3 linked regions of the Schizosaccharomyces pombe genome follow. The gene in region 1 interacts genetically with each later gene. Each region holds a gene or a part of one and is shown on either strand. Other genes may lie near its edges.

Region 1 (5,665 bases):
TAATATCTCGGATTATTCCTAATAAGGGTTCAATCATGGGAGGTTATGAAGTTACAATTCTTGGCGCGAACTTTTTTAATGGATTAGTCTGTTTATTTGGTGACAACCCAGCTGCTGTAACTTTTTCGTGGAGTGAGTCAACGATTATAGCGACTTGTCCTCCTGCAACTAATGCTGGAACCGTTCCTGTAACCTTTCAGAACTATAATTCATCTTCTGAAGCGCCAGTAATGTTTACTTATGAAGATAATTTAGATAATGAACTTTACAAATTAACTGTTCAAGTTTTAGGCTTAAAACTTACTGGATCTATTCAAAACCCATTAACGTTATCCAAAAAATTGTTGAGTTCATGGCGCGACGATTTTGCTCAATATATAACAAATTCTATTAAGCAGCCTCCTAACAGTGAATCTAAAGGTCAGTCTAAAAAAACCTTATTGCATGATAGCAATATGGAATCGCTTAAATCGGTTATTTCGCGGATTGTGAAAAAAGACAGTAATCAGTCTGATGACAGTGTTGAAAGTACTATCCTCGCAGCATTTGCTCTTGTTACAGATACAACGACACCATACCTTTCTGATTTTAGTCTTGTTAACGAATCTGGTAGGTCACTTCTCCACCTTACTGCTGCCTGTGGATTGTCTAATGCTTCGACGTTCTTATGCAACGCAGGATGCGATGTTAACAAAAGGGACGCACTTGGCTATACACCACTGCATTATGCTTCATTGTATGATCATAAAGACATATGTGTTAATTTACTTTCCAACGGTGCCAAGCCTGATGTTATAGGAGCTAGCGGTAAAAAACCGATAGACCTCTCCTCTTCTGAGCCTATAAAACTGGTCTTTAAGGAAGCAAATAATGAACAAGCCCAAAGTATTTCTCGCTCTCTTATTAAGGATTCTGAAGGCTCCATTAATACAAATGAAACCTTAGAATCAACCAGTATTGTTAACGAAATTGAGGAATCTGCTGTTCAGACCAAGTCATATAGTGAAAGTATGTGGAATAAAACTGTTACAATGTTTCCATCGCTTCAAGAACTACCTCAGAATTATATGAGTGAAGTTCCATCCATGATGCAAAAAGCCATGCTGTCAACCTTAAAAAGTATATCGGCCATTCCCGATGATGTACCCCCTCCTTATTCTGAGTTTGCTGATGATACGACAGCGCAAGCTGGTTCTAGTAAAAGAGATAGCGCTATATCTGAAGATCCCGATCATCACAAAAGTGTTTGGTGGTCTTTGAGATGGCAATCTCGGCTTGTTGGTCGTGGAAAATCTACTGCTCTTACTCCTGAAGAAACCAGAGCAATACAGGAGCAGGCAAAGACACTGAAAAAGGCAGGAATGGACTTTATGCTATTCTCTTTCTGGTTACCTGCCCTACTTTTGCTGAGTATCTTTGGTCTTCGAAGCTATGCTCAAATGATCGGGGGATATTTATATCGCTGCATAATTGGCATTTAGGTTTGACGAACAACCATGCATGTTTTTTTCTTTCTTTTAGTTTTATTCTTTTTTGTAGATTATGAGCAAACTACTGTCAAAACTTAGGTATTATGACAATGAAATCGTATATATTATATTCGATTGGATCAATTTTTTATTATATTGAAAGTAATTGCTTATTTTGTAAGTTAAACTTACATGGGTTTAAACGCATAGAGCAGGTTGGCGCTTTTAAAACCAAAATAGATCGTTGCAGGTTTGCTGTTCTGGATCGTGAATGCAATACCTTAGGAAAGTCTTTTAATAAGCTATCGCTTTTTGCATTGCATTCTTTTTCTAAACTGAACGTTAGATTAGCTAAAGTAAGCGTCTTGAGTTTTCGAGATGAACCGCATACATTAAAATTTTTAAGTACCAATTGGCATGAACCGGTATGCGATCTGCTTATTATAATACTAGTAAATCTTGATACTCGGCAAACTCTTTCAATAATAGCCTAGCAGAAACTGGGATATGTCTAAAGTTTTACAACTGCGCTCAGCTTAAGGACTTTACGGCGATCCATTTAATAGCTAGCCATGAACACTCATAACCTCAAGATTGAGGAGTGGGTCATTCTTTTGCTTGATAAAGAAACAAATTCATTATTGGTAAAATAAAACTGAATAACCCTTAGTTCATCCTAGGAATTTGAAGAAGGGGAATGATCAAGCTTGAACAAGTAACTCTCACGCAGTCTATTGAATAATCTGAAGGTTCATCACTTTCAAGGGGTTGTCTTGGTTTAAAAAGCTTTTACCAATTCCATTTAGGTTTCTGAGAAAGGCTAAAACTCATTTGTTGTTCTTAAAGGATATTTGGATCATTCGTTGATCAAGCATGGGAGAGGACGTTATTGACAGTCTTCAGTTGAATGAGTTATTAAATGCTGGAGAATATAAGATTGGAGTGAGATATCAATGGATTTATATTTGTTTTGCTAACAATGAAAAAGGAACTTACATTTCAGTCCATTAGAAGCTCTCAAGAATTACAAAAGAAGAATACTATTGTCAATTTGTTTGGAATAGTAAAAGATTTTACCCCTAGTCGCCAAAGTCTACATGGAACTAAGGGTATGCTTGCTTATCATGGTGGAAACTATACTTTTTATTTTTCCAGTCAAGAGCTAATAATCATGTTTTTAGATTGGGTAACCACCGTATATTTGTGGGATCCAACATGTGATACATCAAGCATCGGACTACAGATACACTTGTTCAGCAAACAGGGAAATGATTTGCCTGTAATCAAGCAGGTGGGGCAACCGCTTTTGCTTCATCAAATCACATTAAGAAGTTATAGAGACAGGACTCAAGGTTTGTCTAAGGATCAATTTCGATATGCACTTTGGCCAGACTTTTCTTCTAATTCCAAAGATACTCTCTGTCCTCAACCAATGCCTCGTTTAATGAAAACGGGAGACAAGGAAGAGCAATTCGCCTTGTTGTTAAATAAAATTTGGGATGAGCAAACTAATAAACATAAAAATGGCGAATTATTGAGTACCTCTTCTGCTCGTCAAAATCAAACTGGATTGAGTTACCCTTCTGTCTCTTTTTCTCTGCTATCACAAATAACTCCACATCAACGTTGTAGCTTTTACGCTCAGGTAATTAAAACTTGGTACAGTGATAAAAACTTTACTCTTTATGTCACTGATTATACGGAAAATGAGCTTTTTTTTCCAATGTCTCCGTATACTAGCTCCTCGAGATGGAGGGGCCCTTTTGGTCGGTTTTCTATAAGGTGCATTTTATGGGATGAGCACGACTTTTACTGCCGCAACTACATTAAAGAAGGTGACTATGTGGTTATGAAAAATGTGCGAACCAAAATTGATCACCTTGGTTATCTGGAATGTATACTTCATGGGGATTCAGCAAAACGTTATAATATGAGTATAGAAAAAGTCGATTCGGAAGAACCCGAACTAAACGAAATTAAGTCACGTAAAAGGCTTTATGTTCAGAATTGCCAAAATGGTATAGAAGCAGTAATCGAGAAACTCAGTCAAAGCCAACAATCGGAAAATCCTTTTATCGCCCATGAATTAAAGCAAACTTCTGTTAATGAAATTACGGCCCATGTCATAAATGAACCTGCTAGTTTAAAATTGACTACTATTTCTACCATACTTCATGCACCTTTGCAGAATCTTCTCAAACCGAGGAAACATAGGCTACGCGTTCAGGTGGTAGATTTTTGGCCAAAGAGTTTGACGCAGTTTGCTGTGCTATCTCAACCACCATCTTCGTATGTTTGGATGTTTGCCTTGCTCGTAAGGGATGTATCGAATGTGACTTTACCGGTCATATTTTTTGATTCTGACGCTGCGGAACTTATTAACAGCTCAAAAATCCAACCTTGCAATTTAGCTGATCACCCGCAGATGACTCTTCAGCTTAAAGAAAGATTATTTCTGATTTGGGGGAACTTGGAAGAACGCATTCAGCATCACATATCGAAGGGTGAATCGCCAACTCTGGCTGCTGAAGATGTTGAAACACCATGGTTTGATATATATGTCAAAGAATACATTCCTGTAATTGGGAACACCAAAGACCATCAATCTTTGACTTTTCTTCAGAAGCGCTGGCGAGGATTTGGCACGAAAATTGTTTGACTATTGTGATACAAAACTTACAATAATGAAATGCTTACGGAAAAGAAACATAAGAAAAACAATATTTAAATTTAAGGAAAGCTCTATATTGGGAGAATTTTATAAAGCGAGCGAATTTGTACTAAGGAAAAACACAGAGGGGAAACGTGAAATATCTAATTGCTTAGACTTTATATAACATCAACTTCGAAATAATCTTAGAAATTAATTACAAAAATAATAAGGATTGGTTTGATGTATGGTGGTTACATCTAAGCAGGCTTTTGCTTAGAAGTTGCAAGTGTTGAGGCATCATCATCACTTTCATCGTCAACAGCGAATAGAGCTTGATGCTCATCGGCACTGCCATGAATAATATGAGGGTTGGCTGGAGATGTAGGACGCTCATGATGCAGATGCAAACTATCATTTGAGAGAGAGGAAGTCATCTCAAACTCATCTACATCTTGAGCAACTTGCTCACTCATTGCGAAACGACGGTTATTCTCGGTAGGACGCCACAAGTACAAAATGGTAAGCATCAAGATCAAAACAAGAATATCAGTGTATCCGTAATTAAGGAACCAAAGAAGTTTCCAGTATTTTAAGTAATAGTTCATTTGACCGTAGATACCAATCAAAATGGCATTGGCTGCGACAATCGAAGCATAAGCGACAATGCCAAAACATATAACAATCCAAAGACGAGTATACATCTGAGCCTTAACAGTTTGCTTACGAATACGGAGATCACGAATTGTATTATTTAAAGCCAATACAATCCAAAGGAACATAGCGAAGAGGGTGATTAAAAAGACAGGAGCGGCAAACAAAATGACCAAAGACTCTTTATTAGATGGGCTAATGAACAAAGATGACAAGAAAAAGCATGAAGAAACGAACTGCAAACCAGCAAGAATTTGACACTTACGAAGAAGACTTCCCAAACTAGGAACAACAATAGAGTAACCCAGTGAAACAATTAACAGCAAAAATCCGAAATAGGATTGACGAGCGGATTGAGCTAACGACAAAAAGAAAGCAAAAACTTTACTACCTGTAGTGTAACCTTTGCTATTCGCGAAATAGAAATAACCTGTAGAGACCATAGTGCAAACAATAGAAAGAGCAACAACACCTGAAATATACTTTTGAACTTGAAGGAGATCATGCCTATAGCGGAACATAATAAAAGACCACCAAATTCCAATTAAACAATTGATCGCCAAAAGAATGGGATTTAAAAACAAATGAGGATAATCAGTAGCATCCAAATTGCCAAAATAGTTTTCCCAGGTTACGGTGATTTTGTAAGCCTCGCTGGAGCCTTCAAGGGGTGCGGTAAAGACGCAATATAGACCAGATTGCTCAACCGGATATTTAAGGGGACTAACCATGGATTCAGCGTCTACGGCGGCTGAGTAAATAGAATCGTGGGGAGCGGTTTGGTTAATCAAGTAAAGACCATAATCATCGTCCTTGCAAACACCGGCTTCAATGTCTTCGTAGTTACATATATAATGCTTCTCGCCATCATCGTCTTCCATGCCGATGGCAT
Region 2 (6,872 bases), on another chromosome or scaffold:
ACGAACGAAAATAAAACACTTTCTATTTTCTGAAATTTTTACTTCAGAAAGATATTTTCGGGGGTATTCATGAATCAATAACTTTTGACAACATAAATACAATATAATTCGATCACTAAAAAATAACTTCTGTTTATTTACAGTTGCTAGTATTCCACTCTTTTTCGTTTGTTTATTTACACATTATTTTCCTTTAACTCAGAATTGCGTTAAATGATTCTTTTCGAATGTATAATTGCAGCAATGTTGATTTGTTTATTATTTTTGTTTACAACATTATACTTGGTTGTCTTTAGTAAATCTTGCCTCCTTATTGGTTACAAGTCAAACATCCATTGTAAATAGTGAGTAATTGGTGTTGTTTATTTAGGCTTAGTTCAAAGGCTTAGCTAAGGATATTATTACTATTCAGTTAATCTAAATCCTTTGTTATTTGAGCTATTTATCCAGGATGCAAATGGTTAGCGAAAGCTTTTATTTTTAAATGATCATCTTTTAGTAATATTAAATGTTTACTTAACACTTTTTTAAGCAAATGTTAGGTGAGCATCAAATTATCATTCGATGTTTGTTTATTGTGAGGGATTTCATAAATTATTAGTTATGATAAAACAATGTGTTAATATAAACGAAATGAATTGTTTTTTAATATAAATAACCCAAGGTTGAACATGTTTTACCCAACCTTTGTATACACTTCAAGAGATTGAACACGATCTCTAATTACTGAGTTATCCAACTGGCAATCACTCAAGCCTCAAAAGAGCCAAGTAACTTCGTAATGAACAGTAAAATTGCTTATCCAGAGATTAAAATATCAGGTGCCTTTCGTCCTGATAAAATACAGGAAAAGGGAAAAAGTAACCGATGTGATACTCACTGCTCTGGTAGCTCTTGGACAAGTTTTAAATCAAAGATCCTAAAAATTTGCGCTCCTCTCTGCTGTATGGGTTCTGATAACGATGAAAGCATGGCAGAAATGCCATTAGAACCCCAAGTTGAGCCAAAATCAATAGAGAACAATTATACTTTAAAAAAAAAAAATGAAGAAGGCTTCTTAAGTCAACAGGAAAATAAGTCTTCAAACCAAAATCCTTCAAAGGCTAATAACCTTTTCGACAAGCTCGGCGTAAGCAAGCCAATAACATTCATAGCTTGTATACTGCAATTGGGCGGCACCTCTTTTATGGAATCAGAACTCCAGACGAAACTTTCAACTATTAATAGCTCGCCGTTTAAAAGTTTATCCCAATACTGGAATGCTGCATACAATAAAAAGGAATCAATATCATCTTCAACGAATAGTAACATCAAATTACATTTGGCAGCTCGTAAATACCAAACAAAACCTGAAAAATTTAACGAAAATTCTTCCATTAGTCAGGTTACATCCGCAATAAAAGCAACAAAGGCATTTTCGCATTTAACTCAACCGAAGAGGGCACTATTGAAAGAAAGCAATACGGGAGATAAAGATATATTTAAGCCTCGGTATCCACAGCTTCTAAGCTGTAGATTTACAACCTTGAGCAAATTGGCGCCAATTAATAATTCCAAATCAGCACCTAAAGGTACCCACAAACCGAACCACTCAGAAAATGCTGAATTAAAAGATATAAAACAGAGCTCTGAGCTTTCTGACTTATCACTATCTTCACAGATTTTATATCCCGAATCCACGACTTTAAGTGAAATATCGCCGATATATGATTCTGAATTAGCAATTGAAAATATACTCGAATCTAAGTGCTTTGAAAATGAACAAGCCATAATAGAAGGAGTAAAAGATTTTACCGAATTTCCCGACCTAGAAGAAACACAGATTATATATTCCGACCTCATCGCTTCCAGTGAAGTATCGCCAATATATGATTCTGAATTGAAATATGAAAGTGTACTCGAATCCAAAAGCTCTAGAAACGAACAGGCTACAATAAAAGAAAAAAAAGATAATGAAAGGGTCCTCGACTTGTCACAGCAATGCACAAAGTTTCTTTTCAGTGACCAAAAGGTTATTACCCCAAGCTTTTGCAAATTTGCCCAAGTATCAGACATGTGCTCTACTGAAATTCCTTGGGTAAACTTCTTTTGTGATAACCTAGATATATGTATCGAAGATGTTCAATTCAAGAGTAAAGCCTTTTTTCCACCTACAGTAACTATTACCATCTTTGAGCACGAAGATAAAAACTTGATGAATGTCTTCGATACTAAAAATGGAACATCAAAAACATTAGTGAAACCTCAAATAACTAATAGCTGCCTTGAAAATATGCTATCACTTGTAAACAAGAACAGCTGTATTAAAAGGCTTCACTTAAAGTTGTCTAAAGGGATAATGGACATCAAGGTATTAACTCATCAGCTAATGCTATATGATCTTTATCCTCCTGCTCACCAAACATATCTATGGAAAGCATTAGAACGACTAGTGAATGAAAAGGTGAGTTTAGGAGAACTAACACCTGTTCACAAAGTAGCAGCCGAAAAGAGAATAGGAGACATCCGGATGCATTTAATTGAATCTTCGGATATATACGTTGTTACTGAAAATCATCGCTGGCTACATATCGTGTGTGAGGGCTTTAACTGTTTCTTAGAGCTTCCCGAAGTACTTCACGGAAAGAAGTTTTTAAAAGTAGATGAGGCTACAAGAGAAGACATGTTAATGTCTGCAGAGACTCCAGACGATATTTTATGGATAACTACATTGATAAGTACTGGTTCATCGATGTCACATTTTCCTTTGCATGCTTACCTGGAAGCCAAAGAGAGACAAGAATTCACAAAAAAGAACCTTTTACTATTTTGTAAAGAAGATGAGTTTTTATACTCCGACCAAGAAAATGAAGACCTTTTAGAATCGTTTGAAAGAGTTATTTCAGAAGAGTTATCCCTTTTAAAATCAAATGAGCCGTCAGATATCTCACTAAAAAAGAGAAAAAGAAGAAAGAATTGTGAGAAAAGAATATTGGGTACAATGATGTATTAAACGGCATGGCCAGTCGGAAGAACTATCCTTATGCTAATAATATATCTTCAGCATTCGCAACCATTGATATTTGCTTGACAAAGCGTTAATAATCCTATTCCCTAGGATATCATTTGTACTACCACAAAATTGAAAATAAATTCACAACGAAGTCAAACAACAGGTTTCTTTTACAAACGAACTGGCACGACCTTTCAAAAGATGTGCAATTAATTTTGTGAAACATCTGTAAGAACAATCGGCTTCCCTATTGAACTGACAACGTTCTTTCACATGGATTAGTATATGAAATCCCTATGATAAAGACATACTTTAAAAAATTTTCTCCATTCAAGAGGATCCCCATTACGCTTTATAAAGTTTATAAGCTCTAAGTTATGGCCTAAATTAGTTAGTTCAATAACACCTTGCAAGAGACATTTCCGTTTATCATGTAAATTAACATAAAGGATGGTCTGATTTCGAACATATTTCATAGTCACTGAGATTGCAAGTAGTCGTAGACTGTCATAAAGATGATCTATAATGGTTTCTCTCGACGCCCTAGAATAAAACCTAGTGAGTCTTTCAGGAGGACAAATTTCGTAGAAATTCTTAGCCTTTTTGGCCTTTTTCATATAGTTAGAAAAAATTTAGGTTTAAATAAATAATACCAATCTTTTAATAAAACCTTCATTCTCACAAAACTGACTCAATGAGGGGTCTTTTTCAAGGATTTCAGTAACGTCAATATTTTTATTAAGTTGTACTGGCTGGGATAAGGCGCCATAAACTTCTACACGATCCAACTCCTTTTGGTCATTTTTTTTAAAAGCTGGCTGTGTCATTGAAAAACCGCTATCGCTAATTGAAAGAGTTAGAAATATGAAACAACTGTGCAAGATCTTACTTTTGAGATGCTCTAGATGAGGCAAGACGTGGTTTATCTAAATCAATACGAAGTTTCAACATGAGCCTTGATGCCAATGCTACAGGATCGGCACAATTCCCATTTTTAGTTCGAAATGGTGTACTTGAGGTAAGCCATGGGTGCTGTACAACATGTTTGACAGAGTAGCGCTTAAATGGATCACTTCGAAGCATTCCGGTGATAATCGCTGATCATTAGTTTAAAGGAATTTCAGTCAGGACTTACAATAGGCTCCTGGAGACAACAAGTTCCATGGGTGGTAAGACGGGCGTTCACATTGTTTTTTATAAAGCAAGTAGTCACCAGTGTTGCTAATTGCTTCATCCCAAGGTGTGTTGCCTAATAACAAAGCAAAAAGAATTATACCGCAGGACCAGACATCAACTTTTGAACCATCATACTGCTGTGTAATTTCTGGAGCAGCGTATGGTGGACTACCCACTGGACTATTCAAAAGCCTACTTTTACCTTTATAGGAAAATAAAGATGCAAAGCCGAAGTCTGAAATCTTTAAGTTACCATTGTAATCTAAAAGGATGTTCTCAGGTTTCAAGTCTCGATGCGCGACACCTTTAGAGTGCATGAAGGAAATACCTTCCATAAGTTGAGCAAAATAAAACTGAGCGACGTCCTCATCAATACCTACATCAGGCTCTAAATTGTAAGTCCGTTAGTAAAAACGAAAGGTTCATGCACCCACCTATTTTGTCAAATAAGTCACCACCTTGAGCAAATTCAAGTACTACCCATCTCCATTGGGGATTTTCTGCTGTATTATAAAAATGAATGATATTTTTATGTCCATTGCATAGTTTGTGAAGTTGTATTTCACTAGCCATCCTTCTAGCCCATACCCCTGCATTCATACAACTAGTAGCATGTTTTTTATTGACAAATTTGACAGCATATATTTTAGCATTATCATCGTAACATAAACGGACGCTTGCTTAAGTTAGTATATAGTATTTTTCAAATCAAAATTCATACGAAGCAAAAGCCCCAGTACCTATTTCTCTACCAATATGGTAAGGAAAGTTATCTAATTTTTGAGCCATTCTTTGGTGTAAAGGGAAAGAAGATTATAATATAACACAAGCATATGTTGCAAATTTTGGCATGTGTATTATTTACAGTCTTAACATCATCAAAGACTGGAAAAGATTAAATTAAGGTAATTTTTAAATGAGTTTTAAATCTATATAATGATATAAAATTGGACTATAATTTGATATCCGGTTTTCGTTTACTTGTGTACATTAGCACATGTTGTGTTGTGTTTATAACTTACTCTCCTACCACCACGTACTCATTGAGAAACTACAGTAACAACTTGAGGAATGGATTCTGATATGCAAAACCAGAACCCTCATACTAATTCTAAAAACTCTTCTTCTGCTGGCATGGCTGTTGACGGTCATAGCGTTACAAAACGGTAAAAAATAAACAGTTTTTAGGAAAAAAGTCTCTAATGCATTTGTAGATTGAGAAGCGAATTAATGAGTTTAATGGTTTGTAATAAGCTTTTTTACTTTGTTATTAACTAGGGTTTTATGACTAGATGTCCAATACTCCTGGAATTAGTGCGTTTCCAGATTCTGATTCTAACCTGCTACATTGGGCTGGCACAATTACCGGCCCAAGCGATACGGTATGACTTTTATTTTGAAAGCTTAATATTTAAAGTATATGAATAATGCTTGGTGTGCTTACTTGTAGCTGCACTTTAATGGAAAATTAATACACATCTTTGTCATTACATTTTCATAACTGTCTACTCTTCTTTCTTCTTTTTCATACGACTAACGTAACGAAAATAGTACTATGAAGGATTGAAATTTAAAATTTCAATGTCATTTCCAGCTAATTACCCATATTCCCCTCCAACTATCATTTTTACTTCACCAATGTGGCACCCCAATGTCGATATGAGTGGAAACATATGTTTAGACATTTTAAAAGATAAATGGTCAGCAGTCTATAACGTACAGACAATTTTGTTATCTCTACAAAGTCTGCTGGGTGAGCCAAACAATGCTTCTCCCTTGAATGCTCAGTATGTTGAAAATATCTCATTTACCTTTTTTGATTATTAACAATTCTTAGAGCTGCAGAATTGTGGAGTAAAGACCCTATCGAGTACAAACGTCTTTTAATGCAGAGATATAAAGAAATCGATGAAATTTAGTTAGGCCGGTCTATTTCATACTCATTTTCATTTCTGTTTAGTCATATGGATTTTCTTTTCCTATTCAATGCTTGAAAAAATGTCTTTAGTTAAACTTTCTTCATTGATAATGGAAGTTGAAATTATTTCATCTCATCGATTAAGCAATTCCTTCATGCAATGCCACAACCTCCTGAAAACCACCGAATGGTTTTTTAAGGACCGTCTATCATTATTTAGTTCCAGAAGTTGAAGTTGTTATTATGATGCTCGATTAAAGCTATTCTTGTTTAATGCATTCCGTTAATGCAGTCGTTTTTTTAGCTTTCCGTTAGATTATAATACTATTTTATTATTATTGATTCTCAATGTCATTGTGTTATGTATTATCGCAAGACAAGTATCAATGTTATGTTGTGCCTGAATTTTTTTCTGATTAGTAATAGGACTGTATATACAGCCTAATATTTGTATTTCTAATTTTGAGCCTTTAATCCTTATGAAGCCGTATAGTGAAGTATCTTTTCAGTCTCAGAGCATTTTATAGAGTTGCTGAAATTTACACGTCATTTAAAAATTTAAGAGTTTTACCAATTATTATTACAAAAGATTTGTATTTAATTACAAAAGAAAAACTGATTAGAAAATTGAACATTTAAACTGATAGCTGAATAAGCTACTAAAACTGGCTGTTTATATGCTACCAAGAGCATACCTGCGAATGACTAGTACACCAAAGAATCTTGAAAAACAGCCGATTAACTTCGACAATCTCCCCTTGTATTTACAAGGAACCAATTACGGAG
Region 3 (5,709 bases), 920 kb from region 1:
ATGCGGGTCGGTGGCAATGAAAACGCCCGTAATTACTTTAAGCGTCATGGTGGGGTTTCACTTCTGAATTCCAAGGATTGTCGTTTGAAATATTCTTCCAAAACTGCAAAACAATATCTTGAAAAACTAAAGTCTCTTGCGGTAGAAGACGAGGCTAATTATCCCGATATATTGGATATGGATTTCCTTTCCAACACTCATGAAGGCAGTTCTGCTGCTGACACTACTAATGAAGATGATGACTTTTTTTCTGCTTGGGATAAAGCATCTGTGAAGAAATCGGACGATAATCTTGATGACAAAACTGACTTAGCTTCTACTAGTTCATCGGTAGTTGTTGAAAGCGGCGAGAAAGATGAGCCTGTCGTCGTCACTGAAGAGAAGACTATGGTTTCTCCCCCTTCTCGTCCAGATTCTACTTCCACTACCAAATCAAAAACTTCTTCTATTTCTTCTGCTCGTGCCCGGCCTATCCGTGCTTCCTCACGCCCTACTGCTAGTAAATTGGGTGCTAGTAGACCTCAGAAGCTCGGTATCAAAAAGGCGAATGCCGATATTGACTTCGATGAGTTCGAAAAAGCTGTATTGTCTTCCGAATCTGCGCCAACCAAAAAACCTGCTGCTGTTGCGTCTAAGGAAAGCACCGTTGATACATTGGTAGATAATGGAGTCGAGGAAGTCAAGGAGTCCACTTCGACCACTGTGCAAGGAAAGCCGGTAAAACCTGTTTTGAAATCTGCTGCATCCGCAAAGTCAACTAAGTCTGACGACTCAAACCTCAATGCAAACTTTGCACGTTTGGGATTCGGCCAGTTTGCTGCTGCATCCAATGCGCGTGCTAAGGCCGCTGCAAAGGCACGAGAACTGAAGAAAAATGAGGTTAATGCACCGACATACGCACGAGATCACTTTGCTTCTCAGAAGTCTATTTCATCTGATCAATATTTTGGTCGTGGATCGTTTGATCCCGAGGCAGCTGCCGAAGCTCAAGAACGTTTATCTTCTTTCCGAGATGCCACAGCTATTTCTTCCAAGTCCTATTTTGGTGAGGAAGAAGATGAAAACGAGGAGGGTGAATCGTCTCATCGTCCAGATAGCGCATACCTTCGTGATATAGCTGAAACTGCTACTGAAGACATTGAAGCTATTAAAGTAGCTATTCACCAAGGCGCAGAAAAACTTTCAGATTTTATTCAAAAAGTTGGTGCTCGATACAATTTTTAATTCATCCGTCCAACTTTAGCTCAAGTAGCAAGAACCTGTCTATCTGTGCCAGTATCTGTTCCCCATCTTCTCAAATTTACTTCGACGACCAAAACTAATTAGTTCAAATTGAGTTATGCCTATTCTAACCAGTTCAATATTCCGCTACTAGTATCTTACCCTTATTGATCTGACCTTGTAACAAATGCGGTTTCTTCTCGTCAATTTCTCGTGGAACCATTTTTTTTAATATTGATAGAAATTATCTAAAACTATCACATCAACTTGTATAAAGGAAAGGTTTTGAATGCATTAAACAGCCATTGCGAACAGCTACTAGATTCTCTGAATTAAAAACTACATTTTTCACTGGCATGTAGCTTATCTGGATGCTGAATACCCACTTTCTTTTTCAGCTTTGCTTCAAGGTTTCGCTGTAAGCGGAAAGTGATTTATAGGTCTCTAGGAACTGTCCTTTTCTTGAATTTTAGATAGATTAATTGATGTAGCATTCTTTTTCGTTGCAGTGATAGTAAAGCTTTGTATTGTCAATTAACAGTCCTGTTTTAGTATTATTAAAACTACATAATTAATATTGAGCTCTACTGAGAATTTATTTAGTAATATTTGGAATTGTAACAAAAATTCAATTTTTGCAACTGGCATGTTTACATTTTGAGATGATGACCTACCCTCCCCTTTTAGTGGATACTTGGCCTACGCTACTTTCCCCATTCATACTACGGTGAAGGCTAAGTGAACGAAAAATCGCATTTTTTAAGCCTTACATGGCATATATTATTTAATTTTAATTAGCATCAACATCGACTTAATATATGACGATGTTTATGCAGCTTCAAGGTTAAACATGCCATCTTCGAATTCGGGAAATGTATGACTTTTGATCGTTGTGTTAGCTGCGTAATTAACGCTATTTCTAGGAGTTACTTTTAAGATTCTTTGAGTCTGCCCATTTCACGAGTCAACTTTGTGTTGCATATCTTTCACGCTATCCTAACAATATTGGCATTCATCACTTTCTTTGCGAAAAACTAGCAACGTATGTCTACCGTATCATTTCTTTGTTTTTTATGTCTAACACATATTAGATTTCCTTATGAAGAGATAGAATTTTTTATTCCTCAATTAATGTACGTTTATTTCGATAAATAAAGAAAAATTTTTGGGGGGAAGGAAAGTACCAAAAAGTCGAGCTCATAAGTCAGTGAAAGCCGAGTATATGACTCATATGCCTATTTCATAATTTAATGACTCTCTTACCTTTTGATTTTCTTTCCTTCAAACGTTTATTCCGTTGTGTTCGTGCATCTCTAATATCATACTGTAGTCATCTCGTCCTTAACAAAGATTCTGAAAGCGTTGCTTTAGAAGAATTTATCATTTCTCAATGTGAACAAAATACACAATGCGCACTCATTACATTTTGGTATTTGCAAGCCCATATGGTGGATCTAGGTTTACAGCCGCATTCTTCTTGTTTTAAAATATGTAAACGACTTTACAATCGTATTCAGATTTTGGTTTTCATGTCATCATCATCGTTAATACAGTCCCAACAAAAAATCTCCGAAAATGTAACCCCTGCCCTAATCCTTTCAGGCATCATGCTAGGTGGTGTTTGTGTGCCTGAACTACTAAAAAAAGCTGGCCCCATTGCAATTGCTCAAGGCCGTAAAGCCCCTAGGCAAGATCCAGATGAATCAGATGTTGATGTTTTACGCCGTCTTTCCACCGAACCTCGATATTCTCTGGACGTATTACGTTCGTCTTTGAACAACTCTATTGTCGAGCAACATTCCGAAGTATCCCTTAGACTAAAAGCTCCAGAACTAACCCGCACCCATTCATATCAATCATCAGCTACATTATCTATTGACGAACAGCGTCGTGTTCTACGCTCTAATTATTTTCAACAAGAAATTCAATTTCTTTTTGCTTTACAAGATATATCTATCCGTCTCATCATTGTACCTAGACAAGCTCGCCTTTCTTCATTACGCGCCGAACTTGCTCTTTTAAATAACAACCTTCCAGCCGATGTGAACATACCGCTTTTACGATCATATCATAAAGAAGTGAGTCATAAAATCGTTCGCATTGATCCTAAAGAGGCTACCATACTCAATTCTGCCGAACGAGTACCTTATCTTATTATGGTTGAGGTCCTATCTGGTGAACTCAGCTTCGAGCCACAATCGAAGAAAAATAAGGCTAAGGTGCAAAAGATTGTCTCTCATAAAAACCAAAGAAAAAGGTGGTTTGACCTCACAGATGTCGATCCTTATACGAACCTTCAAGACAGTACCGACAATGATATTTCAGAGTCGGAAAGTGAGGGAGGGGATTTAAGTATGTCTCCTCTGATAAAAGGGTTGGTACCGGACACTCTTTCTTTGAGTAAGTCATTCTCTTCGTTTGGTAATGTATCTTTGCAGGTACCGTCCTCTCATAGAGATACCGATGTCGTCCTGTTATCTGGGCGCCACTCTGATTCTGATGGAAATGGCGCCTTAAAAAGAAGTAAAATCTATGCTTCAGAAATAACAGCGAGAATGCGAGCTGCGGCAACTATGCTAAGTCAGCTTGATGCTGAAGGTAGCAGACGTCCCAAAGCTGAGACTGAACGAATAAAAAATAGCATTATTCTTGACATGCAAAGACTCGAAGAAGAGCGCCTTAATGAACCATCCATTTATCCTGTTTCAGTCGACATATCATGCGCAGAAGATCTGCGATTTGGCAAAGAAACTCAAAAGGCAGAACGGAAAGGTGATAGAGATGATCCCAGTGCCGCTACATTCCAAGAAGATTGGTATGCCAAGAAGGAAAGGATAAGAAAGTCTTCTCCTTATGGTCATTATCCCAATTGGGATTTGGTCAGTGTGATTGTTAAAACGGGTGCGGATCTCCGGCAAGAGACATTTGCCTGTCAACTTATATACGCGTTTCAGCGTGTTTGGCTAGAGTGTAAAGAAAAGGTTTGGGTTCGAAGGATGAAAATTTTAGTGACCGGCGACAATAGTGGCTTAATAGAAACGATTACAAATGCCATTAGTGTTCACTCTATTAAAAAGAATTTGACGAAACAGCTTCGGGAAGCTGAACTAGCCCAAGGAAAAATTGCTGGTAAAAATGTTGTTACATTGAAGGATTATTTTATAAAGCAGTTTGGTGATCCCAACAGCAGCCGGTATCGACAGGCACAGACAAATTTCCTTCAATCATTAGTGGCATATAGCATTATATCATACTTACTACAGTTAAAGGATAGACATAATGGTAACGTTCTTATTGATAGTGAAGGTCATATTATACATATTGATTTTGGCTTTTTACTTACGAATACACCGGGGAATGTTGGCTTTGAAAGCGCTCCATTTAAGCTTACGGCGGATTATTTAGAAATCCTTGACGACCGGTTTGATGAATATCGTTCCTTGATGAAAGCTGCGTTTAAATCTGTTCGAAAAAACGCTGATCAGATCATTTTGCTTGTTGAAGTTATGCAAAATAATTCCACAATGCCTTGCTTTCGTGCTGGTGAAAACACAAGTGCACAACTTTTGCAACGTTTTCAACTACAGCTTGGTGACAAAGAATGTGATGACTTTGTGGATTTGTTGATTCAAAAGGCAAATTGTAGTGTTTGGACGAGACTTTATGATCTGTTTCAAAATATTACGAACGGAATTTACTAGTAAGTGGCTATTCGTTTTCTCTTTTCATTTTTTTCGAATACAGCTACGGAGCTTCCACACTTGAACCATACTGCTGGTTGGCTTTTTTAACTTTCAATATTGTATTAAAATCACCACATTCACCATGGTTCGTAAATTTGGTAATTTTTTTGTTAGCTAGATTAGCTATATTAATGCATTAAAAATATTTTATGTGATCTATATGATTTATCATACCCACTAGAAACCCTTGCAATTATAATATACTATTAAAGCATACTGTCTAAATTAACTGCATTTCTAAGTTAGCAAACAATTTGGCGTAGTTAAATCCGGGTTAAAGAATCCTTTCGCACTTCCGTATATTGACATACCAAATTTTAAAGTAAGATTAGGTACTGCAACCCACTTCAATTTACCCTTTACCATCAAATTGAAAAATTAGGCGCAAACAGTAATTGTATATTAGAACTTGGAATTTTTTTCTTTTCATTTATAATTTTGTGTTATAATCCTTTGTTCCTTCTTCTACTAGGGGTTGTTTCTTTGCACAATATTGTAGTTGACATTGGTTAATGGGGTATCTTCATATTGATTACAGTATTCGTGATATAACAAAGAAATTTGGTAGGAAAATTTTAGTGTTGATTAATAGTTTTTCTTATCAGGATTATATCCAACTGAGGTGAATTATTACTTGAGACTTTACATCATTAAATTTTATGCAGGTATTAAGTCGTGATTATATCAGTCAAACAAGTACCTTTTGAATTCATTTTCATACCTCTTCTTGCTTGAAAGAAAGAAA

Evidence for each region. A genetic interaction does not mean that the proteins touch.
Region 2: of pot1 (region 1) and chk1, a mutation in one rescues a mutant of the other (synthetic rescue), as found in Schizosaccharomyces pombe (3 studies listed by BioGRID, with this or other methods).
Region 3: mutations in pot1 (region 1) and pik1 are lethal when combined (synthetic lethality), as found in Schizosaccharomyces pombe (one study listed by BioGRID).

The regions. Positions count from the first base shown.
Region 1 is NC_003424.3:4,127,187-4,132,851, forward strand, and holds pot1 (shelterin complex subunit Pot1), read left to right. Parts: upstream 1-2,037; 5' UTR 2,038-2,342; coding exon 2,343-2,411; exon of another isoform or gene 2,412-2,457; coding exon 2,458-2,578; exon of another isoform or gene 2,579-2,608; intron 2,609-2,650; coding exon 2,651-4,128; 3' UTR 4,129-4,379; downstream 4,380-5,665. Other genes in the region: mga2 (IPT/TIG ankyrin repeat-containing transcription regulator), read left to right, coding at 1-1,481; SPOM_SPAC26H5.07C (seven transmembrane receptor protein), read right to left, coding at 4,380-5,665. UniProt on the Schizosaccharomyces pombe protein: Single-stranded telomeric DNA-binding protein that is required to protect the 3'-end telomeric overhang. It binds the consensus sequence 5'-GGTTAC-3'. Regulates telomerase and telomere length.
Region 2 is NC_003421.2:1,058,105-1,064,976, reverse strand, and holds chk1 (protein kinase Chk1), read right to left. Parts: upstream 5,182-6,872; 5' UTR 4,958-5,181; coding exon 4,890-4,957; intron 4,845-4,889; coding exon 4,603-4,844; exon of another isoform or gene 4,557-4,602; coding exon 4,128-4,556; exon of another isoform or gene 4,090-4,127; coding exon 3,882-4,089; exon of another isoform or gene 3,836-3,881; coding exon 3,646-3,835; intron 3,601-3,645; coding exon 3,304-3,600; exon of another isoform or gene 3,259-3,303; coding exon 3,202-3,258; 3' UTR 2,993-3,201; coding exon of another isoform or gene 782-2,992; 3' UTR 534-781; downstream 1-533. Other genes in the region: protein Meu27, read left to right, coding at 782-2,992; ubiquitin-conjugating enzyme E2-C Ubc11, read left to right, coding at 5,240-5,334, 5,383-5,410, 5,461-5,550, 5,720-5,955, 6,006-6,087; gid1 (putative Ran GTPase binding protein), read left to right, coding at 6,788-6,872.
Region 3 is NC_003424.3:5,048,622-5,054,330, reverse strand, and holds pik1 (Golgi-specific 1-phosphatidylinositol 4-kinase, type III-beta Pik1), read left to right. Parts: upstream 1-1,922; 5' UTR 1,923-2,071; coding exon 2,072-2,095; exon of another isoform or gene 2,096-2,144; coding exon 2,145-2,263; exon of another isoform or gene 2,264-2,307; intron 2,308-2,312; coding exon 2,313-2,354; intron 2,355-2,505; exon of another isoform or gene 2,506-2,551; coding exon 2,552-4,922; 3' UTR 4,923-5,176; downstream 5,177-5,709. Other genes in the region: glo3 (ARF GTPase-activating protein), read left to right, coding at 1-1,224. UniProt on the Schizosaccharomyces pombe protein: Acts on phosphatidylinositol (PI) in the first committed step in the production of the second messenger inositol 1,4,5,-trisphosphate. PIK1 is part of a nuclear phosphoinositide cycle and could control cytokinesis through the actin cytoskeleton.